Linked DNA regions of Nothobranchius furzeri. The protein of the gene in region 7 interacts with the protein of the main gene of each other region in a biochemical or structural test. Links are inferred from orthologs where the notes say so. Each region holds a gene or a part of one and is shown on either strand. Other genes may lie near its edges.

Region 1 (3,993 bases), on a different chromosome or scaffold from region 7:
GTAATTTAAAAACAATCAAATAAAATAATGAATTTTAAAATTCATAATTTTATTTGTGAAACGTTAAGTGACTGAATTAAGCATGGAATAACTGCAGATCATCGCTATGGGGGATCTTTGGCCTGTGCAGATTTGTTTTAGTTTACCAAAACAGCTTGTTTAAGCTCAATGGCGGATATTTTCTTTCAGGATTTTTCTTATAGAGCAGAATTCATAGATCCGTTGAATACAGCTAGTGGCCGTGTTTCTGAAGCTGGAAACCCGTGATAGAATTATCCAGAATGTAAATAAAAATGTTTTAAAAAAATTGTATTACTGGAATTAAAAATGAAACTTTGAAGGGATGCGAAAGTATTTCATATTTTAAAATGTGATGTAACGACAACAGAGACCCAGGAACCGTAAACATACACAAACATTATGGTTCACCATAATAAAAAAGATGTAAAAAAAATACTAAAATAACTAAAATCACATTTTAAAATGTCCAACAGAAATCCAAATTATTGTCTAATCTAGAAACAAAATTAACTTAATTCAGAGCGATACTACTACTACTACTATTACTACTACTACTACTACCTTCTCGGCCTAGTAGAGTGTCTGCCTGGGTCTTTAACCCTCCCGCTGCCCTCACCCTTGCCACATGGGCCCAAGGGATAAACCATCAATCCTGCTCAATGGTCAACTTTCCTCGCAGGGTCACCCATAAAGACAGTGGGAGGGTAAAAAATGGGACCCAGTGCCTCCCTGCTTGACACCCAGCATTAAGGGGTTGGATTGGGGGGGTTTAAACCAATAACAGCATATAACAGCATATATATATATATATATATATATATATATATATATATATATATATATATATATATACACACACATGTGTGTGTGTGTGTGTGTGTGTGTGTGTGTGTGTGAGCAACTCCAGAGTGGTAGAAAGTCCAACCCCTCTCAAGGAAACTGGTTACGGAGCCAGAGCCATGCATTGAGGTGAGTCCGACTATATCTAGTTGGAACCTCTCCACCTCAAAAACCACCTCAGGCTCCTTCTCTACCAGAGAGGTGACATTCCATGTGCCAAGAGCCAGCTTCTGTAACCAAGGATCAGACCGCCAAGGTCCCCGCCCTCGACAACCACCCGTCACACACTGCACCTGACCCCTTTGGCCTCTCCCACGAGTAGTGAGCCCAGGTAAGGGGGACCCACGTTTCCTCTCTGGGCTGTGCCCGGCCAGCTCCATGGGTGAAAACCCGGCCACCAGGCACTCGCCAACGTGTCCCACTTCCAGGCCTGGCTCCAGAGGAGGGCCCCGGTGACCCACGTCCGAGCAAGGTAACACGGTTTCCATTTATGTTATTCATTATATATATATATGGGTTAAACCACCAAATAATGCCGCTTCCCACTGGATGGGTCAAATGCGGAGATCGCCACCACTGTGTGATGACTGTGGGACTTTGAATACTACTATCACTACGTTTCGTTTCTAACTTCAACTTTATTTTGTTACTATTTATGTTGATACATTTTCTCCGGAATCGTTAGGAAAAAATACCTCTCATTCTGTTATTAAAAAGGTAATGGTGTCTCTGCAGAAATGTTGAAGGGTTAATTTTCCGATTGTCAGGAAGGCAGCACGAGGCTCCGCCTCTTCCGGTGAGCCAAGCGGGAAGTTGCTTGTAAATTTAAACTAGCTAACACCTTCGTGCTAATTTGACGTAAACACCACATTTATTGGATTTAAAGCAGTGAGTTTACGTTTACTCGTTTTTTTATTAGCAGCTTTTAGCTAGGTTGAGCTAGTTACGAAGACTAAAGCTTAAACCCAACGAGTCACTTCTATGTTTAAGTAAAGCATTTGTTTTGTTAAATGTTGTTTCAAAAGCCTAGAAGACACTAATGAGTGTTACTGTTTCGTTTTGCTCTATGTGTGTTTCAGTATGTCTGCACAGCTATGACGAGCAGCAACGAGGGATGCATCCCAACGTCATCCAGGCACTTCGGACAGGTAAATAAATCAAACAATTGCAGAACTCGAAACTATTTTAGATGAATTTTCAATCGAATTACACTTAAATTATAATATTAGATTAATAAATAATGAGTGTTTTAATCCCACAGATGCTCAGGTTTTGTCAGATGAATTTGTTTGACTTTTTCAGTGCACCTACACAGCTGAGGAGTACCAGGCGGTGCAAAATGCCCTGCAACAGAAACTTGGACCAGAGTACATCAGTTCCAGAGTGGCTGGAGGGGGACAAAAAGCAAGTGTTTCTTTTACTTTGTGACAAAAACGTGAGACGCCTGGTTTCATTCATGAAGCTTGAGATTCAGAGCTTGAGCAGAAAACATGTCTCAGCACAAAACCCAAGTCTCCTGATGGGATTTGAATTTACTGATCATTAAAAAGGTATTGTAATGATCTAATAGTGTTGTTTTAAACAGGTGTGTTACATTGAAGGCCACCGTGTTGTCAGCCTGGCCAATGAGATGTTTGGATACAATGGATGGTCGCATTCCATTTCCCAGCAGAATGTTGGTACGACTCATCTGCATTTGCAACAAGTGCCTAAAAACTATTACTTGCTGAAAAACAGTCAGAAATAATCATTTGCACATGGATCCTTCAAATATTTTACGTTTTAACGTGTTATAAAAATGACTTCTTTTTTTCTTTTCCAGACTTTGTGGACCTGATCAATGGGAAGTTTAATGTAGGAGTCAGTGCGTTTGTCAAAGTGCAGCTGAAGGTTGACTCACAGTCTCATCAATATTAATCATCAGCTCCAGTTTCCTGTGAGCCTCTACAGGTAATCGAAGTAAAGTGTAACTGGTGTTTTTTCTTTCCTAGGATGGGTCGTTTCATGAGGATGTGGGATACGGAGTGAGTGAGGGGCTGAGGTCCAAAGCTCTGTCCCTAGAAAAGGCGAGAAAGGAAGCTGTCACAGATGGAATGAAGAGAGCACTGAGGTAAAGACCTTTACAGATTTATATTTAGTAACTTTGATTCATGCGAGAAATTTGTGTAACTCTTCAAAAATATTATTTCTCATGTTGAGATGTTTTGGTAATGCCCTTGGAAACTGCATCCTAAATAAAGATTACCTCCTCGCCATAAACAAGATCCCAAAACAGGTCAGTCGGCAATTTAGGTTTTTTGTTAAATTGGATTATTCAAATCCATAAAATTTTCTAAAACTTGACTTCTTCTACACAAAGCCTCCTCCTCCTCCTGACCCGACCCAGACTAAACGGTGCGACGGTCAGCCATCAGTAGAGAAGGCTCGGCTCTTCAGTCTGGTCCAGGAAGATTCACTTTTAAAAGCCGGACCTGCCCGAATGCCACTAGAGCCCAGATTATTCTACCAGAACCATTCAGAAGTTCACACCCCTGGAGCTGCTGGCTTTGCTCCCAGCGGGGTGAATGAGAACATCAAGTAAACATTACAAACGGCTCTCAATCTGCTTCTCTCTTTTACAAGTGGTCATCCACCATAGCTGCTTTTCTCCTCTCCTCTAAGATATGCCGTGAACTCTGTCGATGTCGTCTCTGAAGCACACACGGACCCCAAACAGCTGAGGAAGCTCCGACAGCAGCAGCTTCAGCAGAAGTTCAGGAGAGAGATGGAGGCAAAGAAGCTGCAACAGAAACAGGAAAACTCTGAAGAGGCAGAGGTCGCTGTTAGACGTAAATCCTCCGGAGGTAAAAGTTTCATGTTTAACATTGAACACCAAAAAAAGTGCACTAAACTTTAGTAGTTACAAGACTGATATGGGGCAGGTGGAAGCGATCAAAGGTCCAGGTTAGCCCGGTAGATTATCAACATAGGTTCTTAAAGGGTCCCAGGTTTCGTGGCATTAATTGATGGTGCCATCGAGTGTACATCTGATTTTTTCCAGTTTAACATTTTGCATAACCGTCTGTGATCCAGTGGTGTTGTGATGGAGGGATAGAATCATTCCATTTTTATAAAATCAAGCGTGTGGCTAGT
Region 2 (3,979 bases), on a different chromosome or scaffold from region 7:
TATTCATTGTTTCTTTTAATGGTTTGTAATATGGGATAAACACATTCACTAATTTTTTATATAGTAAAGTCAGATGTAAGACTTCACTTTAACTCTAGCAAAACCTTGTGAGGCTTCATATCTACCACTTTTTCAACTCTGAACTGCTGTAATAACCCAACATTCCCTCCAATCTGACAGCCAATCAAAACAACGGAAGACTTGCTATTTGCCCAGGAACAGAACAGGTTGCTTGCTTTTGCCACTGCCACGTCACCTCCCGTGTGTCAGGTTATCAAAGCAATAGCGAAAAGTTTCACTTAACGCAGTCGTTTGTTGCCTCTGTGTGTCGAGTCCATAAGTCATACTCTAGGGGGAAAGCTCCAGTGCACCATTTCCAGGAACTAGAAGTGAGCCACATCACTGCTGAGTTTCAGACGGCACGTTTTGGAGTCTTATTTCCTGATTTTTGGATATCATGACCGGATTAGATAACAGCAACGTGGCTACCACTAACTTGCAAAACTGATGTTTTATCTCCACAAATAACACAAATTTGAAGGAGTTCTGCTGTGTGGTGGAGTTACTAATGCTAACAGTTAGCTTCTACTAGCCAAGCCATTTTTTGCCCTTTCCTGGACGTTAAAACCAACAACCTTCCCTGTCACGAGTCATGGTGGGTGGGTCCATGAATGTTGTGTCAGTTTGACGTAGATCTGTCAGGCTTTTCAAATCCTATTTTCCATCAGAAGCTAATGCAGAAGATAGGTGTAAATACCATTTCCATGTTCAGCCTGCAAGAAAAACTCAGACTGACCAATTATCATCAAAAATAACAGGGCTTTACCTGCGTTCAAATTTGCGTGGCGGCCGACTCCAGCTAATTTTGTGCCGCCCCAGCCTGATTTCACTCTGCCCCCAGCTATATGGATGTTATTGTAACTGCAGTTGCAGCATTGCGCCACTACAGGGGCGCTGTATCAGCAGCGGTGCACTGAAACGCGCTAAAACCACTGCAGAAAATGATCAAAAATAGCTTTTCTCGCTAGTTGGTACATATCTATGTTTGGTGCTACTGACGTCCTGATTTTCCCCCAGGCACTTCTTCCCTATCAGAGCAGGGGTGTACAGTGCAACGTAAAACATTGTGTGTGTCTGTCTATTTTTCAATGTAGCGCTGGTGCAACATCTTTGAATTACTATTTACTGCAGAACGTTATTGAACAAAAGTAAGAAAAATGCTTTTCACAGGTGCACAGTGTGATAATCTGGATGCAGTGGAGGAAAATAAAGGAACCAGCAAAGGCACAAAGGCAGAACCGGTCCAAAGTTTGGGATCAAAAGTGCAGCTACATGCAGATTGGCTAATGCTAAAGCTAATGGGTAGCAGTCGCACGATCAAGTGGATATATGATGATCGTAAAACAAAGAAAGACTAAACTCAACAAGTGGATGAAAGGTCCCCACCATCCTGTTTATTCTGCATCCTGCAGCGCTATGGACCAGAACCGCTGCAGATACGAGTTACACAGGAGCAGGATGTAGTGCAAGCCATTGTAGAATATAATTAACAAACGCTTCTATCTTTGAACATAATTTAAATTGGATTATTGCCAACCCGTACATAATAGACATGTTACCATTACATTGTTAGCAGCAGAAAATACAAGTTATTATCATTTCCAACACAAATGCATGTTAATGAAATGCATTATTTTTTACTGGATATATTTATGTGTTATTTTGACTAAGATGAGTGTTATTAAAACAAACCTAAAATGTTACTGAAATGTAGGTCAAGTATTAAAAAATATTTCAACTATAAATATCAGATGGGAAAATGGGAACTAAACACCAATCTAATGCATATTATTGAGCCTTTTATAATAAGAGTCTGTTACTTCAGCCTAAAAATGTTGTTTTATTTCATATTTTGAGCAGCAAACCAGTTTTGTTTCACTTGAGATGTTGTCAAATGGAATATTCTATTAATCAACAGAAGCTTAGATTAGATCACTTAACGAAAATATATTTGCCTTTAAAAAAGTGAGGCAGTTGAATGCACAGAGTATGCATGTGCTGGCGCATGGTCAGGATGGTACCACCTCTGCCTCAATTTGAGCCAGGAAAAGCCCTGAATAAGATTTTAAAAATGTTTTTTTTAATGTTCCACACCATTAAAATGTTCTTCATCTTGCTCTTGGCTGTTCTAACATAAAAGGGAATTCCTGTCCTGTCCAAACAGAATACACACAACTTTGTTGCATTGCCACTAGATTAGAGAATAAATATAAAATGTTGATTGCTGTAAATAAAACTGGATTGTCAACTTTTCCTTCTTAATATTTAGATGACAGAGAAGTTTAGGCCAATGCCAACAAGATACAGGGAGGGAAAAAGTGTCTGTCAACTATGACTGCAAATAAACCCTTACAGGAAATTTAGAAAAGTGTTTCGATCTTACCATGCCTATCGAAAACATTCCAGGGCTGGCTCACATGGCGTGATGACTCTCTCTTTCCCCCCTTAATAAAGGCTGGCAAACTGGGTCTCCTTTGGTCCCCTGCAAACTTCCCCGGCTGCTGCCCCATAAGGCCAGGGTGCCAGGCTGCAGCCGGGACTCTCCAAGCCAGTATCACTTGCTCACCCTCCAGCAAATGGGCTCCGGGCAGGAAAAAGTTCAGGAGAAATCAGGAGGCCTGTTCCCCGACTTGGACAGTCCCCACTAAAAAATGGGTGATTCAAGTCTGTTGGACGGATCTCTCCAGGATGTCCCTGTGTATCATGCATTTATAGATTCTGGGCCCTTCAGATGACAAGATGTTTGACAGGAGTCTAGGGGAAAAATAATGGATGACTCAATGATTAATTCAAAACGATTAAAACCCACAAATTATTCAAGCAATTGACATTCAAAATCATTCTCCACGGGCTAGTCAAGCATCCCTCATATATTGAACTGTAGTTTTATCTGCTGTAGTGAAACACCATCCTTCAAAAATGTATTCATATTTTGACAATTAAATGATTCTGTGTACAAATGAGTGTAAAATTATAAAAACCAACAAAGCTGTTCTATAAGTATTCGATTTGATGGGTTCCACTTCCAATATTGTTTTTAGACATGTCTGAACAGGAAAGGGATCACTTGGTACACGTGTATTGATTTACTGTGACTATTCAAACAAGAGTCAACCCAATAAAAACAATGCCAGCACAATTCCATCCACAGCATAAGAGTCACTGACAAAGTCAAGGATCACCTAAATCATGGGTGTTTCCTTCTCGTTCTATTAGTCAATTATCATCATTTTTATCACACAGACAACTTTAAAAACATTACCACACTCTGGTTATATTATTTCTATACTGATCTGAAGTAAATCGGTGAGATTTTTTATTAAAAAGATTTATATCCCAAGGAAGGGATTAATCAGGGGGCTAGATTTTATTTTCCGAAGTCAGAAATGTCAATAACTAGCCCTGCTGTTAAAAGGACAGATTTTTAACACTCGTTTAACTTGAATTCTTATAAGAGTGTAAAAAGACGAAAAAGCAAACTTACACGAGCAGAAAAACTGCGAAATATCTGGTTAGCCGGCGACCTCCAGCTAACGTTGAAGATAGCCATGAAGCTAACCGACGTCTGCTGGTGGTATGCACATCGGCTCGAGTCAACAGTTGGCTCGCGCTGGTTCTCCGCTAATATCCTCGGACAATTGTACCAAAATGTCTCCCAAAAAGCACATGGAAAACATATTTTCCCATGTTGCAACCAATCTCAACAAAAATCACAAGTTTCTTTTAAACTTCCGCGTCCACTTTTCCCATCTTTTGGAGCGTCTCCCCCTCTGGAAGTCGAACTAGACTTTAACCAAGAAGACGAAGAGAAGTTGAGGGAACTCTTCCGGGCCGGACACAAACGCCTCCTTTTGCAAATTATTTCTTCTGTTTACAGCTTCTGAACTCTTCTTTGCGCTGTCCTCTATTTGCGTATTTA
Region 3 (4,128 bases), on a different chromosome or scaffold from region 7:
TTCAAAGTGTTCACTCGAGTCCACACACTTTGGCAACCGCTGCACTTCAGGTAATTAAACTCTGAGATCAAGCAGCACACACAGAGAAATGAACAATCCCTCCTGTTGATGAGGAAGATGGCTGCTGCAAGCCTTCACTCCCACATGGCAGATTCCAGGGATGAATGTCTGCTTCGTCACTCGCAGACACAACATAGATGTGGGAGTCTGCAGCTCTGCTACTGGTCTCAGAAATCTGAACGTAAAATTTGTATTTTATTGATCTAATCAACACTCTGACAGTTGGTTGAGTGATTGTCTTTCACAGGGAAAGAACAGGAAACTCCTCCCGATGCACCAACAGGAAGCATAGTTATGGAAACAAAGCACAGATTTTTGTTTCATAAGAGGATAAAAATAAGATTTCTGTACGCAAATGTCAAAATGTCATATAAACCTTAAGATTGCCTAAACCATCAGAAAGCTGCTGCCATCTAGTGGACATTTTGTTTTTTGTCTATGGTCAGCTTTTTCAGCAGAAAAATTAAATAAATATAAAAGACAAAAGCTTGAACTTACCGTCGTTCTTGTTTTGTGCCTGCAGTGGAGGTCTGACTTCGGGGCCTGGAGCTGCAGGGACGGGGCCAGACTGCTGGCCTTTATTCTGACCTACAAACAGAACATCAAGTTACCACAAGCCTATGGCAACACGATGACTCAATAATGAGTCACCTCTGTTTCTCTCACTGCCATTGAGTTTTACCATCAAAGTAAGGAGTAGGGTCTCCAATTTTACCACTGACTTCTTCAGCAGGTTTGATCAATTCGGTTTCCAAAATGATGACCACTCGGCTGCAATCAGATTTTACATCAATTCTTGTTCATTTTTGCTTTTTAAATAGCAAATTTTTATATTTGCTACGAAATCTGCATACCGTCCATCCTTCAGAATATTGGTCACATGCTTCTTCAGAATGCACACACAGTTTGGGGCGAGGATGTTTTCCTCAGCCAAGTAGTTCAACTGAGTGGAAAGCATAAAGGCTGCAAATGATGAGGGAAAATGTTTGGTTAGCTTTACGTTAACAAAAAAAAAAAAACTCACAATGTGCACCTAAACCCTAGCCTAGAGAACTAGAAAAACTGTAGGAGTATCTGAAGATTTATGCTCTGCGGGTTGGTCTAGCAAGAGTTGAGGAGTTTAGAACCACAGCGGTGACAAAGCAAAACAAAGATGGCATCGGCTCAGGAACGGCACTCTTTTTAAAAGGTGTTGGTATCAAATTTGGGCGACTTAGACTTGTGCAGCAGGTGGAGGTACCTCTTCGATAATGTATGGCAGACTGCCCTGTCGAGCGATTTCCGTTGCTGTCAATACGTCACGTTGTTTGTTGCTCTGATTGGTGCTAGCACTGTAGTATTGCAAGCAGAGACCGTTTAAAAAACAAAATGTAGATTCTGCCCCAAGACCGAGCTCAGTCTATGGGTTGTAGCCAGACTATATATCAACATAGCTTGCCAGGCTACCTAAAACCTTTAATGATTGCAAAATAAAACCACAAAACAAATATGCATTCCAGATGTCATTTAAATGTTAATCATGTTGTCGTTTAAAACGCAAATAGATGTGCTGCTCATCACACGATTCGTACACCAACAGTGCTTCAGGGTAAAATTTTCCCTGACAAAGTAAACAAAGGAGATAGTGCCAATTTTTTCCACTAACGAACAAATGTCAAGGTCACAGCTGCCCTGACCTTCTAATTATTTATTTACCAAGAACTATCATGCAGGAAAAATGAGATTTGAGTCTATGAAACTAGACAAATTAAAATTGCAAACGGAGTAGCTTCTCTCTAAAGATGCAGTCTCACTAACACTTTCCATTCAAAAATGATTAAATGCCAAACCCAGGGTCAGAGACTGGTTTGATCCAAATGTATATCATACTTACATGACAGTGTGTGGCGTCCATCACTCATCATCACCCGAAAGCGAGGTATCCCACTTCCTCCCTCTATTTTGCGAATGTTCTAAAAGTTAAAGAAAAAAATAATAAACTCTTGCAATTTAATCAAGAAATCTGCAAAAGCATTTAACTAATGCCTGAGTTACTGATTTGTTGGAATTTGCTGAAGCAGCGTTCTGAAAAAGAGTGTGGCGTTTAATGCCTCTTCTAAAATATATAACGCACAAAAAGCAGCTTCACAAGTTTACACAGCTTTCAATACGTCATGACGGTTAAACAAAGAGGCCGCATGTGATGCGGGCCTTAACCGTGTCAGAACTAAAAACGAAGCCCAAAAGTAAACATGCGTTTAAGAGCATGATACGTTTAAATGGTATTTCACGTTTTCGTTATTTACCACCAGCTGAAGAACTGCGTCATTCCAACCGGAGCCATTAGCTAAAGCCTGCAAACAAAAACAATTAACTTAATGTAACACAGCTGTTTTGTTTTAACAGTAGAAGCATTCATTTTTTACAAAAGATTTCTAAACACATGTACGCTACTTCAAATTATGTTTCAATTTACACCAGCTTCAGTCAATATTAGTTTTTAAGTTTCCATTAACCTCAATGTAAAAAATGTCGCGCGAATGCAAACACATAGTAGGAAAATGCCTACAAAAACACGTTAGCATTTTAGTTGAACTGACATTAACTTTACCTCAATCGCGCCTTCTGAAAGTTTAGGCATGTCTGACGATTTTGCGTTGAAACTGAAGATTACTTTAGCAACTGCTAGACAGACGGTTTTCTACAACTATCACTGCAAACAGCTTGAAGTTTATGCCTGTGGCGCCAACGGCTCAGGCATCGCGCGCTCAATTTGTCGAGTTCCGTGTTGTCGGGTTCCGTTTCCGGTAACAGATCTGACTTCAGTTTCCAAAATCTGTCAGAACAGCAAGGCTTAGAGGTAAATTCTCACTAAACTGACCGCAGACCAGCACTGAATTTCTCAGCGCAAAACTGAGTGACGTTTGTTGCGATGCGTTCAATGACATTTGAAAACAGGAAACACCCGATTTTGTGTTTTCAGCGATTTTTAAAAAACACGGAATGTTAGTATTATGCACAGTTTTACTCGTCGCATAATAACTATATTTGGAGGGGGAAAATTATATTCTAAGAAATTAACTAATTTTACCGTAAGTCATATTACAATAATATTGTAACTCCTAAAATGTGTCACATGGCAAGATTTGAAAAGTATTTTTAAATAACCATTTGATTTAAATGTCTCAGCAAATTAATTCATATCAATACTGATTTAGATAAATTGAATTGATTTAAGTACACAAGAAAACAAATTAAAATATTTTAAGAAAATGCTCAGTCATGCAGTAATGCTCAAACATATGATATTTTAGACTTTACATGTTGACACATTCCACATGTGGTGGAAAATTAAACCATCAAGTAACATGACAGGGACTTTTTTGTGAATTTAATGTTATCGTTTAATTTCTTGACCATCACATCTTATACAATACAGTCATGTAAAATGAATATTCCTCTTAAAATGACTATTGGGCTTTAAAGCATAATTATTTCCTTATGAAACAAACAAAACGTTTTTATTTTCACACATATTTTGATCCAGACTAGTCTGTACAACTGCTAACTCCTAGCTTTCTCTCAAGAAATGGACAGATTTGTATTTCCTATTTAGGACCCCCAAATGAGCTCATGTGATCTTTGTCATATGAGAAACCCATTTTATCTTTGCTTCCAAACTGTCCTTTCTGCAGGATAGGGGCTCCAGGATTAGGATTGTTGATGACACCCATGAAGATTGGTATTTGAGTTACGTCATCCATAAGCACAAAAAAGAAGGGCTTAGTGAGGTGGAAAACTGGAATTGCTGCCCGTGAGATAACTATGTTGGTGGCTGCAGCAGCTTCTGCACCATCCTCATTTATTTCCATGCTTGACTTGTGCATCACACTGGACACCAGCAGGGGGCCGTCTGCAATATCAGCCAAGTTAGGATTCAGGAACATCTCCCCGAGGCCTGAAAAATATAAAAAATAAAAATTACATTTTGAGGCTCAGTTAAGAAAATAACAGTGGTTTTCCCAAATTTTTACTTAAAATTGACATTTATTAAAATGTATCTGCAACATTAATAAAACATCTAAAACT
Region 4 (4,173 bases), on a different chromosome or scaffold from region 7:
TTGATTCAAAGTGTCATACTAATCAGCTAATGTCAACACCTGCAAAGGGTTCCTGGAGAGGCTGCCTTGGGCGAGCTACCCGCCAAAGCAGCTTGAATCAATAGAAGCTCAAAACATTAAAGAAAACGGATCATAAATATGACTTTGAAAATAATTGTAATCAGTGGTGCTCCCAATGGGTGGGCATGGCCACCCTAGAAAATTGCTGGCCCCTCTGGGAAGACCAGTGTTAATAAATCCTAGTAATGTTCACTCAAACCATAAATGTATCTCATTTATTCAAGACATCAATGTAACCCCCCCCCCCCCCCCGAAAAAAAATTTATACAATTTATAACGAAATAATCTGAATTTTGAAAAAAATGATCTGTTTCTACTGCTCACCATTTTAAAAAGTTTATAGTTCCATAGTTTTTGTGAAGACAGCTACAGGAATTAAACTAAAAACAGAATTCTAAAATCTATTTTGAAAAACCATAAATAATTTTTTTTATATGTTTGTGTCTCAATTTAGAGTCAAGTGTTTTGGATAGCTCTGTCAGTGCGCCCCAGGGCAGCTGTGGCTATGTCGTAGCTCATCATCAACAGTGTGTGAATGTGTGTGTGAATGGATGAATGCTACACTGTAGTGTAAAGCGCTTTGGAGTCCTTACTCTGAGAGGTGCTATACAAGTGCGGGTCATTGATCATTCATTTAACATTTTATACATATTGTTGAAAATATAAATAAATAAATAAACACGAGCTAAACTGTTCCAGAGTTAACACAAGGGCCAATTTGGTGTGCCACGCAAAATTTTTATTGGCCACCCTTACCAAATTTTTCTGGGAGCGCCCCTGATCAAAAACCATGTACTATTTTATCTCAAGATAAAAATTACGAGGCGCTTCACAAAAACACCAAAGTTAAGGATTATTACATTATTAAAAAAAATATTATTTACATTCAGAAAATGTGAATAGAAAAAGAAAAACGTAATCGTGGGATCCCAAAAAGACAGAAATGACAAAAACACCAGCATAAAAAGTAGCAGAAATGGGTTTCCGTATCAAAGCAATCTCTATGAGATGACTCCTCCATAAACATTTTATACATAACATGTCAACCATTCTAAGAAATGACCAGCAGGTGGCGGCGTCATCTAATAGCCAACCTCGAAAACCCAAAGAAGAACCAACCGACCAATCAGCTGGCAGGAACATCCCAACATGTTTTAGGTTTCGAACTCAAAGCAGAGGGGCGTTTGAAGAAGAAGAAAACGTGAACTGTAACGTTTTCTTAAAGAAGAGAAACAATTAGCTCAGCAGAGGTGGCTTGTTTAACTTTTCGTGTTTTGTTGTTTTGCACTAAACGTACGTTTCAGGACAAATGAGTATAAATAAGCTAGCAGGGGTTGTTTTGGGTTCAGTGTTTTTCTTTTAAAAGTTATTTTCGAAAACTTACTCGGTTCAGCAGAGGTTTAAATTTGCGTGACTCGATCCTGGAGCTCGCGTGGTGGATGTTTTGGATACAATGATGGAGGTTGCTTCCAAAGGTGAGCATGAACAAAAATGTCATTGTAGCCTACTTGATTCGTTTGTTTATGTTAAGCAGCAGGCTGATAAATTGGTCGGATCCAGGTGCTTGTCTGCCAAAAGCATGTTATACGTTATTCGCAGTTTAAATCAAATCCTACAATTGTACCACTAAAGACACAGAGTTGTCTGACTTTAGCAGAAGGTTGTCGTGTTTAACCCGCTTGAGTTGGTTTAAAGTTTTCTGGGTTTAACATAACTTGAATATATATTTTTATAAGAACTGGACAGCTGTATCTTTATAGCTAAAATACAACGTGATGCAGTTGCGATGAATATAAATATAATTTTGTGAATGAAAAAAATGTTCCCCACATTATAATCGATTTTGTTTTGTATAATTTGCTCATAACTACTTAACACTGTGGAATTTCCCCTTTGCCAACAGTGGTAAAAACGTCCATCTTCCCTCTGGAGGGTCGGGTCTGCCTCCAGCAGCGTGTGATCAGTTTTTGCCACAACACCTGTTGTAGGTTTTTGTGTTGTAACGATTGTTTGTGTCACCAGGAAAGGCCAAGCGGAAGCACCTAAGTGCCGGGGACTGTAAACAGCTGGCACAAAATGCAGACTCTCTTACCCAACCCCACACATCCAACCACGGGCTGAGACACCATGACCACAACCAAAGGCTTCACCCCAGGACCCCCAGAAAACGACGGTGTTCTGGTAAGCCACTGTAAACCTGCTACAGACATCTAAACACACCTTTTTTCTTTTTGAGCGTGTCCCTTCCTCTCCACAGCCAATCATCTGTCTCCATTTTGTCCCATCTTCTGCGTCCTCTACCCTCACTCTTAACTAACCTCATGTCCTCTTTCACAACATCCCTAAATCTCCTCTCAGCCTGGTGGCTCCAACCTCAGCATCCTTCTACGTATATCATTATTGTCTCTCCTCTGGACATGTCCAAACCATCTCAGTCTGTCCTCTCTGGTTTTTTCTTTAAAACATTAATTGTAAGCTGTCCCTCTGACTGACTCAGTCATGATCCCACCCATCCTCGTCCCTCCCGAAGAGAATCCGCCTCCTGTCTTTTCTTCACGGACTCTGTCTCTAAATCGGACACAATAGATGGTCTCACTACTGTCTTGTGCACATCAGTGTAAAGTTTCTACAGTCAGTGATGGTGTCAGGTGCCATGTCGTCTGCTGGTGTTGGTCCATTGTGTTTTCTGAGGTCCAAGATCAACGCAGTTATCTACCAGGAAGTTTTTGAACACTTCATGCTTCCTGCTGCTGACCAACTTTATGGAGATGCATATTTACTTTCCCAACAGGACTTGGCACCTGCACACAGTGCCAAAGCTACCAGTACTTGGTTGATGGACCATGTTGTTGATTGGCCAGCAAACTCACCTGACTTTAACCACATAGAAAATCTGTGGAGTATTGTGAAGAGGAAGATGCAACATGCCAGGCCCAACAATTCAGAAGAGCTGAAAGCCACCATCAGAGCAACATGGGCTCTCATAACACCTGAGCAGTGCCACAGACTGATCGACTCCATACCACGCTGCATTGCTGCAGTAATCCAGGCCAAAGGAGCCGGCTTACAGCCTTTTTTTGCATTGGTCTTAATTAATAATCTAATATTCTGAGATTTTGAGATTTTCATTAGTTGTCAGTTATAATCATCAACATTAAAATAAATAAACACTTGAACTGTATCAGTCTGTGTGTAAAGAATTAATCTAATATACGAGTTTCAATTTTTGAATGAAATTACTGAAATAAAGCAACTTTGTCATGATATTCTAATTTGACCAGCGCTTATATAGAATTCTTTACCAAGCTAGCAGAGAGGTGCTTTGTTCTTGTAGCTGGTGATCGATTGGAGACAATGGTCTCTGAGACAGTGGTGCAGACAGAAGCAGGGTCATTAGCTGTGAGCTGTTAAGAGCTTAGCAGCACACGGTTGTTGAACGCTCCTCGCTGCCCTGCTAAACCTGTTCTTTGCCTCTAAACAAGTTCTCAAATCACAGGGTGTGATTGGCCCAGTGCAGCGCCGGGTGCAGCGTATGCAACTTTAACAGTAGTGTAACAGTGATCCAAGTTTCTCCGCCCTCTGGTGTCACTTGTAATAAACTGATTATCTCCGTAGTTTTTGTTTGAGCCTAGTTTTGTTAAAATCAAGGAGTTGGGCCTTCTGTTCAGCTAACTCAGTGTTGTTTTTCTCCTTTTCTCTTTGAAACAGCTGCTCCTGCCTCCCAAAGCCCCTCTGGGAAGCAGAGAGCCATCAACGACTACTACTGTGTGTCCAAAGTAATCAGTTCCAGTCCTCAAAAGTCCTCTCTGCCTTCCACGTCTACAGTTCCTAAAGAAGGCTCTAAGTTGGTGGAAGAAGAACAAGATGATGATGATGAGAGCCTGTTGTCTACCCCGTTGGAGTATGAGCCAAAGGCAGAAGATGAGGTCGATGACGACTGTCTGCTAGCTGCAGAGAACTGTCCCTTTGAAGAGGCCAGCGCGTCAGGTGCTAGGATGATACCTGAGCGTGATGGGAAGGCAGAGGACTATCTGGAGGGGATGACAGCTGAAATGTTTGGAGCTGATGGGGAATTTGATGAATGCTGTAACCAAGAGGAAGAGGTGGAGCCCC
Region 5 (4,117 bases), on a different chromosome or scaffold from region 7:
CATACTTATAGATCTTTTAGTAGAGTTTGAAAACAACATTAGCTTAGTCTTGTCAGCACTGAGGAGCAATTGTAACTGCATAAGTGTTTGTTGGACCTCATTATAAGCTTTCTGTAAAAATTCAACATTTTCTAAAACAATAAAAATATAACAGCGTAAAAGTGCATATTAGCATCCAATGCATTTTGTCCTATGTCATTAATTTAATTAATGAACAAGAGGGGTCCCAAAACTGAACCCTGTGGTGCGCCCTTGTGGACACTCAAAAATTCATCACATTTAACGCATTGAGTTCTGTACTTCAAGTAGTCTGCGAACCATGAGATTGCATGTTCAAACAATCCCAAACAAAGAAGCTTTTTAAAAGATCATGGTCTACAGTGTCCAAGGCCTTTGACAGATCAATAAACAGTGAGGCTGCATTTTATCCTGAGCAACAAGTATGTCATTGATCACCTTTGTAGCTGCCGAGATGGTGCTGTGTTTTTTTCTGAAACCTGATTGCAGACATGAGAGAAGGTCATTTGAATATAAAGTATTTCAATTGCTTACTTACTAGGGTCTCTAGAATTTTGCCAGGACACACAGATTAGATGTTGGTCTGTACTTTATTATTAGGGCTGGGTCACCACCTTTCAGTGAAGGAGTCACAAAAGCAGACTTCCAAACTGATGGTTTGTTTTTGTTAGAAAGGGTAAAAATAACTGTAAGAGTCTCTGCTATGAAATCAGCAGCCATTTTCAAAAATAGGGTTCTATCTGGACCAGAGGGTTTTCTGGGATCCAGAGTTCTAATAATTTTATTCACTTGCTCTATAGTAAAACGGAACAAAATAAAATAAACGTCAGGGGTCATTTGGGAATCGGTGCAGGGGGGGCACAGGGGGTGTTCCAGTTGAAGTACACAATGAACCAGATGAGCTTGAATGCTCATTAAAACTTAAAGCTCAGCTTTATCATGGGACAAAGTCGAGGACATAAAAATAATAATAGTAAAATAACCAAAACGAATAAAAAACTCCCGTTTTAATCGAGGCAAAAACGAACAGCAACTTTTGGGAAATGTAGATACAATATCCCCAAAAAATAACATTTCCATTTTGTTTTACATAAAAAAAGTTTGACTCGTTACATAGAAATTTAGCCGATTCGACAATTTATTTTGCGCACATTACTTCAATAAAAAACTGAATAAAAAGTGGTGGAATCATAAGTATTTATAATTATAAACAATACAATGATTATATGTATCCAAAAAATTAAAATTGGACTTTTGTAAAAATAATACCGATAAATAAATTCAGTCGAATCAGCTTCCGGTGTTCGTCAGATTGGTCAACAACACCCAACGTCACTTCTTGTCAGTTCAGGCGGGATAAATGAAATCCGAGATGGGACGCGTTTTGTTTTTTTTACTTTTGTAGCTAAAACGCCCCGAATCTAATCGTTTAAATACTTTAAATAGGCACATTATACTAGTTAGTTATTAAACCAAAGCAGGTTAGCTTCTTTGTTTACGTTGCTCCACGGTACCGATCTCTGACGTTGACGTGATGGAGCGACCGTCACGGTGAGGAGACACGTCTTAATACCAGTTCTGTATATATGTATATATAAATATATAAATGTTTTAACCGATATGTTTACTTACAGAAAGACAAAGGCTGTGAATTATTCTGAAAGCAATGACTTTGACGATGGTAAGAAAATCTTCACTTTACATTTCCCTCACATTTATCTCCAAACCTTTGTTTATTTACTGTTACAGTTTAGTTTTTGTCAACTTCCCTTTCTGGTTGTTGTTGTTTTTAACTCACCAGATTTTATTTATGTCTATTAAGAACGATCAAGTGTAAACAAAAACAAATTAGTGTGATTATGTCTCTAACATTGTTTTAAAAAATAGTGGCTATCAATAGGATTACCTTCTGTTTATTTACCAAAAAAAGGTGTTCATTCTATTCCTATTCTAATTAGTGGCGGGCTTTGAAAGGGTTGTCGTTTATTTTCTTGATCAAAATCTTCATATCAGAGACCAGAACTTGTTTTGTTCATATTAGCAGAACCGCAGAAATTAAACAATACACTGTTTTTGAATATTTACTGGTTCAAAATAAAATACAAAAAAACCTAAATGTGTCTTAAAAATAGATAATTAAAAATAAAGACTCTGAGAAGTGTCTTTAAGTAATTTTAACAGGTCTAAGTGAAACAGAATAATTAAAAAACTGATTTCGCCTTTTGGGGGACACCGCTCGTCAGGAGGATCCATTAAAATGATCAGGTATTCCACTGCTGAGGGTCAGCAGCTGCCCCCAAAACAACAGGATACATTTTCAGTGAGCTACATAGTTAAAACTTTAGTTCTGGGATGTATGCTAGGTGCGTGCTAGGGTGGAAGATACTCTCTGAAGGCCCAGATCTTCTAGGGACGCCCCTGTTCCGGTAGCTCTCAGTAGGTCATTCCACCATCCTGGAAAGCCACAGGAAAAGAGTTTATCGTTAGTTTTCTAGATTCAGTTCTGGAATTTGTGGACTCGCATTAATAGAGTAGAAAAAAGTCAGCATATCAGTGACCACTGATATGAATAGAATTTAGACAAAGCTGCTCAATCCCGGAGCTCAGAGATTGATTACACCATGCTGTGAACGCACAAACTCGTATAACTGTCGAGATGAGTCGTAAGCTTGGAACTTTGGCTGAGATTCAGACTCTGGCACAGAAGGTGATTCGATCAAGGAGAGAGTTGACGGATCTGGGATAGATTAATTACGCCATTATTGGATTTTGAGAGGTTGAGGACCAACGGAACTTTAAGGCAGAGAGGAAATTATTTCTGTCTGGCCCCAAAACAAGCTCTTATCTGAATCTGGTGCCCTTGAGCCTGTGAGGCTGAAGTGAATACTCCCCCCTCAGAAGAAATGTGGAATGCTGCCTTTGCCATGGCAACTCTGCCTCCCTATCCCAGCCTGGGCAGACTGCGACCGGTGAAGGCTGTTGAATCGTTTCCAGTAGTCACTGGGCTTTCTAAACCCAAATACCTCCCTCCCCTGTCCAAACGGAGGTGACGAGCGCTGCTTATCGCGGCTGCATGCACTGATGTGTGGAGAGTCCCCAACCCTACCTCCCCACCTAGTGGACACATATGTTGTGTGATGTCTGAAGTCTGTTGCATTTCTGTCTGAGGTGTTTTTTGCATAGCTACGCTGCCCTCCCTGTGGAGGGTAGCTCTGAAGTGCCTTTTTTCCCTCCACCTGACCCAATCCTCATTTGTAAACCCTCTGATCTCTATTAAGGCAGCGTGACTCGGGTTGCGAATGACCACAGTCACCAATTCTTGTCATGTGTCTTTACCTATGTATGTATGTCTGATGTCTGAATTGTGTGTACTGAAACTCTAATTTCCCTCTGGGATTAATAAAGTATCTTTGAATTGAATTGAATTATGTTTTGTTCCTTCGTGTCAAAACATCAGGGTCGTCAGTAATTTTATGGTAGTGAGAGGGACGGGCATATGTGAATAAAGAGTTTGTTCTCCATCTTCATTCTGTTTCAGATGAAGATTTTGCTTCTGTGAAAGCACCACCGAGCAAAAAGCACAAGGAGGACATGAGACAGGAGCAGAAGAAATCTTCAACCAAGTCCGTCAGTCAGGAGAGCGACTCAAAATCAACAGAGAGTGAGAAGAGCAGGTGGGTGACAGGCTTGGTCCAAAAAGAACAGCGTTAAGAAATGTATTTATTTTATTTAACCAGATGAGTCGATTGGGAACTCGTTCTCATTTACGACGACGATCTGGCCAAGAGGCAGCAGCAACAGACACACCGTTAGCTTAACAGGATAAACAGATGAAACGGTTAGACATAAAGACAAAGGACTCACTCAGTATGTACAAGCAATCAAAACAGAGTTAAACAACCTTGAAGTACTCAGAAGCAGGCGCGCTGATCAGAAACTATTGATTGCAGGTAGATAATGGAATGAAGGTTGTGTGCTTCGGCGATTTTTGCTGCTCATTCAGTCGTTGGAAGCTGCAAACTAGAATGAGGAAAATTCATTTAAAAAATACATCAAACTTGTATAGCGCTTGTTTTGGGCACTGCATGCACTCTCACAT
Region 6 (4,223 bases), on a different chromosome or scaffold from region 7:
CTAATTAACATTTGAAAAGCGGGGCGGTGAACGACCCAGCAATAAGAGTCCATATCCAGCGGAAGGCTCCGTGAGCCACTACGACGTCTCCATCTTGTATCCGTGCTTTTCCAGCTCCGCTCTGCAGGGAGGAGAAGGAAAATAAAAGATCAAGTCAGCAGAGATGATTACAGGTGGGCGGCCGGGGCACAAGTACCCTCGGCTATTGATTGTAAGAACCATTAAGTGATGGAAGTGAAAAAAATAATAATACATAAATATTAGATAACGCATGCAGCCATGGATTTAATGATTATACACACATATGGCCGCTGTGCCCTTACGCAATAATGATATCTTTAAGAAACAACTTAATAGTACGGCGACTGTAACTGACCTAAATACAACAGCATTCTGCTGTCCTGAGTGTACTCAAACATAAACAGAGCTGCCACGCATCTATCAGCTGGTATCGATTCTGTGTGTCGGCCTAAAACGCATCATCAGTCCCATCCCTGAGGAGAAACGCGCTTTAATCAATCCAAACACTAAGCCCATAGTAATGTCACTAGGGATGGGTACCTTTGACATTTGAATCGATTCGGTGCTAATTACCACTACCTAGGAATCGATACCGGTACTTAACGGTACCAATTTTAGATACTTTTGAGTGTTTAATATTTTGATTCTCTTTTATAATTAAATATATATTTTTCTCAATTCATAACCATATTTGATAAATATCACGATAAATAACATATAACAGTTTGTATTTTAACATCGTCCTTGTAGTTTTATAAGCTGATAATTAAACTGAAGCAAACATCTTTACTGTGAACTAAATTTACTGTGTATCTTCATTCCTTTTACCGTCCTTTTTCATTTGATTTTTCCTACTGGGAAGTTAGAATTTCCGAGGAGAAAGCGAACGCACCATTAGATGATAACAATGGTGGCATAGGAAGCTAACATATCAAGCTAACGTTATCTTAAACAGTTTAACTACTGGAGCAGATTTAAACGATGATGCCTCACACTTAGATCGTTGTCACTGGTTCATCTTCACCCAATCACCCGTCGCATTTAGTAAAGCGAAGCCAAACTTTAGAGCGCGTTCATGTTCTTCTAGTCGGGATTTCGGAGTTCCGAGGAGAAAGCGAACGCACCATTAGTGAAACGGAAGCTAACAAATCAAGCTAACGTTATCTTACATTTTATTTACCTACCGGAGCAGATTAAGATGAGGATGTCTCACTTAGATCGTTGTCGCTGTTTTCATCATCACCCAGTTACCCATCACATTTAGTGAAGTGGACCCAAGCTTTAGCGTTCGTTCTTTCTACCATGCTGCTCTGTTTACAACTCGCTCGCAGGGACCGATGACATAACGCTCTTGCGCATGCGCAGCTGTCTAGGCAAGTACTCGTTGTGAAGGACGGGTATCGAAACGAGGCACCCTTTCAAATGAAGTGAATCGGTGCTCGGCCGGTACTATGGAATTCGGTCGGTACCTTAAAAAGTACCGAATTCGGTACCCATCCCTAATTTTTCCATGTTGTTTAAAAGCATTTTGCTTACACAACATGAACTATGAAGAAACTTCTGAGCTAAAACGTTTCAACAGAACAAAGTACTTCAGGCCCTGCAGATTTTTATCCACATCAACAGAAAACTTGAGAACTGCACAACAATATTGTCCCGATTTAGTTTTCTAAACATCTGGTGCTGATACTGAAGTTTAGAGAGTTTATGCTGGATAATTCGTTGGAGCGAGGGGGAAATGTGGCAGAGTGCTCGTAAGTTTGGTGTGGAATATATTTTTATTTTAACTAGCAGGTGGACAGCAATGGCTCAACAGAATAAAACGGCACATATTATGTTGCCATTTAATGTTTTCTCATAAAACACTCTGTACACAACAAAACTATCTAAACACTTAGTTTTCTACAACAATCTGAACAAGAACATTTCAGGTATCATTTATAAAATAAAAAAAACAGGAAATCAAGAGCTCACGTGGAAGCAAGAACCAAACAGTCATAAACACCACTGTTCACCAGCCACGTGAGATGATGATAAAACAGCCAGTTTAACGGTTTCGGGTTGACTTGCTCACCTAGATAAAAGTACACTCTAAAGTATTTACACAGAGTCTGTTCAATCCTGCATGAATCTGAGGGTTACCGTAGCTGATTAGAGAAATCATCCTCCACATTGTCATCGTCCCAGTTGTCCTCCCAAACATGAGCGTCTTCATCTTCATCCAACCCCGTCCAATCTGGAATAACAACGCATGCATGTCAGTAAATATAGCTGTAACCTATAGATTCACTCTTAAAAACCCTCCACATGAGCTGATGTTTCACCTGTTCTCGTTTTCCTCCGTAACACTGTTAGCTAATGCGTGCTAATGAACACAGGTGGTGAAACATCAAAACGGTACAACTACACAGATATAATACAAGCACGTTTCCGCATTACAAGACAAAAAGATCTACTAAGCTGAATAATCCGTTTTGCTGAGCTAGCTACCAGTTCCTTGCTGTTTTCCCAGCTAACCGAAGCTAAGGCTAACGCTAGCTGAGTCATCGTAGCTAGGCTCAGAAGCGACAATCCGCTAAAACAAAACTACATCGCTAAATAACAAGTGGCTGGTTTACCTTCAGCTGGGAATTCTTCAAACTCGTCATCCTCCTCTAGTAATCCCAAATCTACGGTCTGTTTCTTGTCTGCCATGTTATCTGTCTCACTCCGCCGCTGCTTGCTAATGAATGCTTCCGTTCCACACGCGCAAACGGAATTCTGGGAATCTGTGTCTGTTCACGCGAGTTGTTACTGCGCAAGGGAGCGCAGGAGGAGGCGCAGCTCCTAAGAAGAAGGAGAAAATGTCATTTCTATAGCGCCTCTCAAGATTAAAATCACGAGGCGCTTCACAAAAATAAAAAAGAATTTAGAAAATGGTTAAACATATATTTAAAATGAGCAAAAATAGACAATTGTGATTAAAAAATGTTAAGAAAGAGAGAGAATGAATAGGAAAGAGGGAAATCAGTGGATCCTGAGGAAGGTGGAATAGGTGGGGAGAGCAGAATAAAGAGAGAGTGGTGAAGAAGGTCATACAAAAGCCAGCTTGAACAAGTGAGTCTTCAGCTGTTTTTAAAGGAGACCACTGAGTCCACTGATCTCAGCCTCAGGGGGAGAGAGTTCCAGAGTCTGGGGGCCACAGCAGCAAATGATCTGTCACCTTTGGTCTTTAGCCTGGTGCACTGCACAACCATTAGGCTTTGATCACTGGACCTCAGGGACCTGCTGGGGGTGTAGGGACAGAGAAGATCACCAATGTAAGATGGTGCTTGTCCATGTAAGGCCCTATAGACCAGAACCAGGATCTTCAAATGAACCCTGAAGTTGACTGGCAGCCAGTGAAGCTGAAGGAGAAGCGGGATGATGTGGGTATATTTGGAGGAGTTGGTCAGAAGCCGAGCACAGGCGTTCTGAACCACCTGCAGATGGTTCAGGGAGGTTCTGCTCAGACACGTGAAAAGAGAGCAGACCAAGAGCAAAAATCACTTACAGACGGCTTTGTGTGCAAATGTTTTTAATGGATCACGCTGAATTTGAGCTATTTCTAACTTTTACCTTATTTAGAATAGAATAGAATAGAATAGAATAGAATAGAATAGAATAGAATAGAATAGAATAGAATATCAATTTATTGTCCCTCAGTAGGGAGCTTATAGTGTCACTGAATCAATAACATTCATTATATTGAGCAAATAGGAAAGAAAAAAAATTAAGAGTAAATATCAAGAAAACCAATTGCAGAAATACTTAGAAAGTTAAAAATAACTAAATACTGGATGTAAACACATGATAAGAGATACTGCCTTCTTGCAGTCTCTTTGATCGCAATAGACTTCACCTGGTCAATAAAAGATTAAATATACATTTTTAATAAATGCATTGACGATTATCTAACAAACATTCAAAACAACAATTAACTTTAACAAAATGAAGGCATCGTTGTTCTTTATTCCAAAGGATAACAGTCGTATTACATAGATCTAATTTAAGATTTATATAAATAATTACATAGAAGACATTAAAATGTGGTGTCATTTGTTTTATTTTCAGTGTCAGTGACCACGGTTACCTGAATTAGACGATGATGGTTCAGGTCAGGTTGTAATTAAAATGAATACCGGTAAACTAAACTCCAGTAGGCAGGGGCGGCGTTAGGCCCG
Region 7 (4,208 bases):
CGGATAAATACGTTGTTAAGGACATGCCAGACCTGTAGTTTTCGAAGTTTTCCCACCAACTGGCAGTCCTTCCCGGTCTGACCCAGAACCTGCGTCGGTGTCTTTGCCGAAAAACCTGCCTTGGACGTGAAGAAGCCAGGTGCCGGGCAATAGCCGTTCGTAACCTCGTCCTTCGTCTGTGGTCTTCCGCAAGCAGCAGTAATTCCTCTTGCAAAAACAAACAAGCAAAAAGCGCTTGGACAATTGATAAAGCGAGCGCAGCTCTGAGGGCATCCATGCTGTCGGCTAGTGTAAACACAGGTCGCACACGTGATGTCAGCATTTTTTTGTCGCGGAAAGTGACGTTGCGGACCTTAAAACTCCGGTTTTGTCTGTCCACACGCAGACACCCAAAACGGAGAAAACGCAGATCTTCACTTTGGCCGGAGTTTTTAAAAAGATGCGTTTTCGTGTGGATGACAGGCCAAAACGTAGAAAAATATCTACGTTTTGGCAGATCCCCGGCTACGTGTGGACAGGGCCTCAGACATCTGGTCAGAATGCTCCTGGACCCCTCCCTGCATTTCTGGGCACTTCCAACTGGGAGGAGACCCAAGTCCCAGGTCACGCTGGAGGGACTATGTCTCCCAGCTGGCCAGGGAATGCCTTGGGTTTCCCCGGAGGAGTTGGCCCATGTAGCTGCAGAGAGAGAAGTCTGGGCCTCTCAGCTTGGGCTGCTGCCCCCATGATCCAACTCCAGATAAGCAGCTGAAAATAGATAGATGAACGGACACCTAAATTTTCCCTCTGGGGACAATAAAGGAATTTTCTTTTGTATTTGTTTCTCAACTGAGGATTATTTTACAGAATAAATCCTGCTTTTCATTTAGGAGAAACAGCTGGCTGCTGTCATCCTTTTGTTTCTGCTGGTGGCATTGTTTATATCCTGGTAATGTTCTGTGAATGCTGGACGCTGGAGCACTAAGATCTGTATACCCCCCACTCACCACTGCCCTTTGTCCACCTGCAGACCTCAGTACAATCATGTGATGGATTAACAGATTCATAGTCTTGTGCAGTGCCAAATGGTTTATCTTTTTATGATAACTAATAAAAGCAACAGCAACATACTCTTACTTTTACCTTGGTGTAGATTTAACATTATGTTCTAAAAACTGTCTGCTATTCTATGCATCGATGACTGCATTTTAGATAGCTAAATTGCTTTTATAGAAATCACATTATTATAAATAATAATAATAATAATAATAATAATAATAATAATAGATAATAATAATAGATAATAGATAATATTATAGTATAATAATATTATAATAATTCATAGATTATAAAAAAAGAAGAAAAAAGCTCTATATGCTTTTATTTTGACGGGAAAAGAGATATCCTGTTTCACGCAAGCGAACTGTACGTTAAACGTCATCGCGTTGTTGTGCGCGCGGGACCTTTGAGAGAAGCGAGATAAAAACAAGAAGAAGAAAGAAGCAGGTAAAACGTTAGCTAGTACGGCATTATCGAGCAGGTACGTTAGTAAAAGGCTGTCTAGTATCATGTGTACGAGCTTACGAGACCGCAGCGTGAGTTTTAATCAGACTTATCTCTGGTCTGAGCAGGTTTGTCAGCAGTTTACAGACATTAACGCCACTTCAGATGCAGCGACAGTGCTAATGCTAAGCTAGCTGGCTGCCTGCGTAAAACTGCCAGGAAACCTCTTTTCAGGAGGTGGACATCTGTAACTGAAGATGATGGCAGTTTTATATTTTAGCTTTGATTTCAATCACAATCTTTGAACGTTGGCTCTGTGTTCTTGTGTTTTACAGCGTTGTTAAAACACTCTGAGCTCCACCACACAGAGTTGTGCTCTGTTTCACCGTCTGCGTCCCTCCTGTCTGCCTGATCCAGCTGCCATGGCGATGAGGAGCGAAACAGCAGTGGAGGCAGAGGTGGAGGAGGAGGAGAACTTCGGCCCACAGCCTCTGAGCAGACTGGAGGTTCGTTTCCTGACTTGTTCCCTCTGAGTTATTCTGGTCTTCTTTCACTCGAACTTTGACTTGTTTTATGGATGTTTTACAGGTTTTTCCTATGATTCACGTGAAGTAAACGTAAATGTGAATGCACCAAAGCACATTAAAGGTGAAGCTGTCAGCTTCACTCTAGGACAAGAAGTCTCCTTTGTGTCCAATCTGAATTGTAAATGCAGTCCTACAGGACACGTATCAGACAGTAGTAACCTCTCAGATACCAGCTGCCAGGTGCTACCTACACGAACATGACCCCAGAACCGCTCTCACACACCAGCGAAGAGTTTTGTCTTCTCTTTAAAAGCAGAAGAGGTTCTGTTGACGGTGGTCATTTCTCAGCTGGAACTAAAATCTGCAGCTCACATTAACTTCTTATTCAGGACCCTTCAGTATCGTATTGTGTGTGCTTTTATCTCAGACAAAACGGAGCTGTTTGATGACGGCAGTGATCCACTTTGGTCTTTGTCCTGTTTGGACTAGCTGTTAGCTCATCAATCTGGTCAGGACTAATCTGTTTCTCTAAACCGAGTCGGCTCAAAGAGCCAGGCAGTGATTGGTCAGAACCTTTTACAGAGTCTCCCTACAAAGATCTTAGCTGTATGTTGTCTTGTTTTATCCTCTAAGCTCAAAATGATCATTATTATTATTTTTGGTTTATTCAAAAGCTGAGCGCTGTTTCACCTGAGAGCTTGTCACTATAAGAACCCTGTTATGGTTTTAGTCTATGATCCAGTTCAGCAGCTCCAGTAGTTTCTGAGAGGGGATCACTGATTACCTGCTACTGTGGATGTGGAACAGCGTTTGTGCTCCTTTAGGTCGGTTCGGTCAGTGATGTCTGTACAGGGCTCTGGTTTTCCTGACTCAGTGGAATGATACTAGACTGGTCCTTGTCTTTTCATGCAGCAATGTGGCGTAAGTGCCAGTGACATCAAGAAGCTGGAGGACGCAGGTTTCCACACCATCGAAGCTGTGGCTTATGCACCGAAGAAGGAGCTGCTGAACATCAAGGGCATCAGCGAGGCCAAAGCAGACAAAATCTTAGTAAGGAGCATATTTTTATTCTCTGAGACATTAATATGCTTCTAGGAGAGAAGAGATCCATGGCAGCAACACCACCTATTTAACACTAAACACTAGGGTGAAATTAAATTGGTGAAATTATGGTGATGCAATATGTATCACGATACATTCAGGACATTAGCGATTTTTATTTATTTATTTATTTTTGACTGAATTTATTGTAGGAAAATTCAATAAACAGTCCAAACTGATACATAACATGTTTAACATGAGGTATCTGAACCATAATAGAGATTTACATTTCAATGGTGGATAGGAAACCCATTGCACACTGCTGCCATCTAGCGGTCAGCGTTTGCATCGCACCAAAATAAAAGCAAATACACAAGTTTGCATGTAAATTCTTTCAAAAATTAGACTCACAGCTTTTGAATATGGATGTAATATCACTAGAAAAAATATCAAGCTATATTGCCATATCGATATTTCCTTACATCCCTAGGCTACGTTATAAAACTATATCAGAAGCGTGTTGTTAATTCAATTGAAAAATACTTTATTAATCCCAGAGGGAAAGAGTCTGGACTTTAAAATCTAACAGATGTTACATTGAAAAACCTCTCTGCCCTTCTCACTCACTGACTCTCTGAAGAAAATGTTCTCAACGAGATGAAGAACACAAGCTTGCGATTGGTCAGGACGCCGCTTTCGTCAACAGCATTGTCATTGTGCTCTCAGAACCATAAAGCAAGCTGAAGACGTGTAGCAGCAGACCGAACACGCGTGTGCGTCTCCAACCTGTGGAGATGACGCAGAAGCATAAACGAGTCTCTTGAGAACAACAGGCTTTGTTTTACGATGCACATCCTTGAACCCAGATGCATCACACCAAGCCACACATGACAAACCGTCCCGCAGCGCTGATGAGGGCTCTAGTTTTGTTGCGCCGTTTGTGTCAGCGGACATTGTAGGGTCGGGGAGGGGGGCGGGGCATGACTATATATAAAGTGCTGGGGGAATCCCTGCACCTGATATGTGCAGGTAAACATGGGGGCTCCTGCGCGTGACGTAGAGATGACTGTCTGGAGTTTAGAACCAGAGGCTTCATCTGAAGTGGTCCACCTTAACCCCCTCTGTGATGTCACCAACACGAGGTTATTGAGTAAATGA

What was found.
Region 1: the proteins of rad51 (region 7) and rad52 form a complex in vitro, tested with the Homo sapiens proteins (6 studies listed by BioGRID). The link is inferred for Nothobranchius furzeri from reciprocal best matches to the Homo sapiens genes RAD51 and RAD52.
Region 2: the proteins of rad51 (region 7) and abl1 form a complex in vitro, tested with the Homo sapiens proteins (2 studies listed by BioGRID). The link is inferred for Nothobranchius furzeri from reciprocal best matches to the Homo sapiens genes RAD51 and ABL1.
Region 3: the proteins of rad51 (region 7) and rpa1 form a complex in vitro, tested with the Homo sapiens proteins (2 studies listed by BioGRID). The link is inferred for Nothobranchius furzeri from reciprocal best matches to the Homo sapiens genes RAD51 and RPA1.
Region 4: the proteins of rad51 (region 7) and fbxo18 form a complex in vitro, tested with the Homo sapiens proteins (2 studies listed by BioGRID, with this or other methods). The link is inferred for Nothobranchius furzeri from reciprocal best matches to the Homo sapiens genes RAD51 and FBH1.
Region 5: the proteins of rad51 (region 7) and rad51ap1 form a complex in vitro, tested with the Homo sapiens proteins (6 studies listed by BioGRID and IntAct). The link is inferred for Nothobranchius furzeri from reciprocal best matches to the Homo sapiens genes RAD51 and RAD51AP1.
Region 6: the proteins of rad51 (region 7) and sem1 form a complex in vitro, tested with the Homo sapiens proteins (2 studies listed by BioGRID). The link is inferred for Nothobranchius furzeri from reciprocal best matches to the Homo sapiens genes RAD51 and SEM1.

What each region holds. Positions count from the first base shown.
Region 1 is NC_091744.1:73,170,775-73,174,767, reverse strand, and holds the start of rad52 (DNA repair protein RAD52 homolog), read left to right. Parts: upstream 1-1,193; 5' UTR 1,194-1,333; intron 1,334-1,627; exon of another isoform or gene 1,628-1,850; intron 1,851-1,940; 5' UTR 1,941-1,955; coding exon 1,956-2,009; intron 2,010-2,163; coding exon 2,164-2,265; intron 2,266-2,446; coding exon 2,447-2,540; intron 2,541-2,683; coding exon 2,684-2,751; intron 2,752-2,852; coding exon 2,853-2,971; intron 2,972-3,060; coding exon 3,061-3,136; intron 3,137-3,220; coding exon 3,221-3,438; intron 3,439-3,522; coding exon 3,523-3,704; intron 3,705-3,993. UniProt on the Homo sapiens protein: Involved in double-stranded break repair. Plays a central role in genetic recombination and DNA repair by promoting the annealing of complementary single-stranded DNA and by stimulation of the RAD51 recombinase.
Region 2 is NC_091746.1:53,653,275-53,657,253, reverse strand, and holds the start of abl1 (tyrosine-protein kinase ABL1), read right to left. Parts: upstream 2,801-3,979; 5' UTR 2,571-2,800; coding exon 2,444-2,570; intron 1-2,443. UniProt on the Homo sapiens protein: Non-receptor tyrosine-protein kinase that plays a role in many key processes linked to cell growth and survival such as cytoskeleton remodeling in response to extracellular stimuli, cell motility and adhesion, receptor endocytosis, autophagy, DNA damage response and apoptosis.
Region 3 is NC_091753.1:47,659,301-47,663,428, reverse strand, and holds the start of rpa1 (replication protein A 70 kDa DNA-binding subunit), read right to left. Parts: upstream 2,801-4,128; 5' UTR 2,681-2,800; coding exon 2,651-2,680; intron 2,394-2,650; coding exon 2,346-2,393; intron 2,013-2,345; coding exon 1,934-2,012; intron 1,024-1,933; coding exon 915-1,023; intron 832-914; coding exon 743-831; intron 649-742; coding exon 559-648; intron 1-558. Other genes in the region: serpinf2b (serpin peptidase inhibitor, clade F (alpha-2 antiplasmin, pigment epithelium derived factor), member 2b), read right to left, coding at 3,648-3,997. UniProt on the Homo sapiens protein: As part of the heterotrimeric replication protein A complex (RPA/RP-A), binds and stabilizes single-stranded DNA intermediates that form during DNA replication or upon DNA stress.
Region 4 is NC_091741.1:60,824,100-60,828,272, reverse strand, and holds the start of fbxo18 (F-box DNA helicase 1), read left to right. Parts: upstream 1-1,373; 5' UTR 1,374-1,513; coding exon 1,514-1,535; intron 1,536-2,082; coding exon 2,083-2,241; intron 2,242-3,768; coding exon 3,769-4,173. UniProt on the Homo sapiens protein: 3'-5' DNA helicase and substrate-recognition component of the SCF(FBH1) E3 ubiquitin ligase complex that plays a key role in response to stalled/damaged replication forks.
Region 5 is NC_091741.1:43,136,872-43,140,988, forward strand, and holds the start of rad51ap1 (RAD51-associated protein 1), read left to right. Parts: upstream 1-1,317; 5' UTR 1,318-1,552; coding exon 1,553-1,569; intron 1,570-1,652; coding exon 1,653-1,699; intron 1,700-3,556; coding exon 3,557-3,692; intron 3,693-4,117. UniProt on the Homo sapiens protein: Structure-specific DNA-binding protein involved in DNA repair by promoting RAD51-mediated homologous recombination.
Region 6 is NC_091751.1:26,675,765-26,679,987, reverse strand, and holds the start of sem1 (26S proteasome complex subunit SEM1), read right to left. Parts: upstream 2,801-4,223; 5' UTR 2,716-2,800; coding exon 2,640-2,715; intron 2,258-2,639; coding exon 2,164-2,257; intron 122-2,163; coding exon 79-121; 3' UTR 1-78. UniProt on the Homo sapiens protein: Component of the 26S proteasome, a multiprotein complex involved in the ATP-dependent degradation of ubiquitinated proteins.
Region 7 is NC_091743.1:91,861,135-91,865,342, forward strand, and holds the start of rad51 (DNA repair protein RAD51 homolog 1), read left to right. Parts: upstream 1-1,408; 5' UTR 1,409-1,485; exon of another isoform or gene 1,486-1,519; intron 1,520-1,817; 5' UTR 1,818-1,904; coding exon 1,905-1,988; intron 1,989-2,921; coding exon 2,922-3,059; intron 3,060-4,208.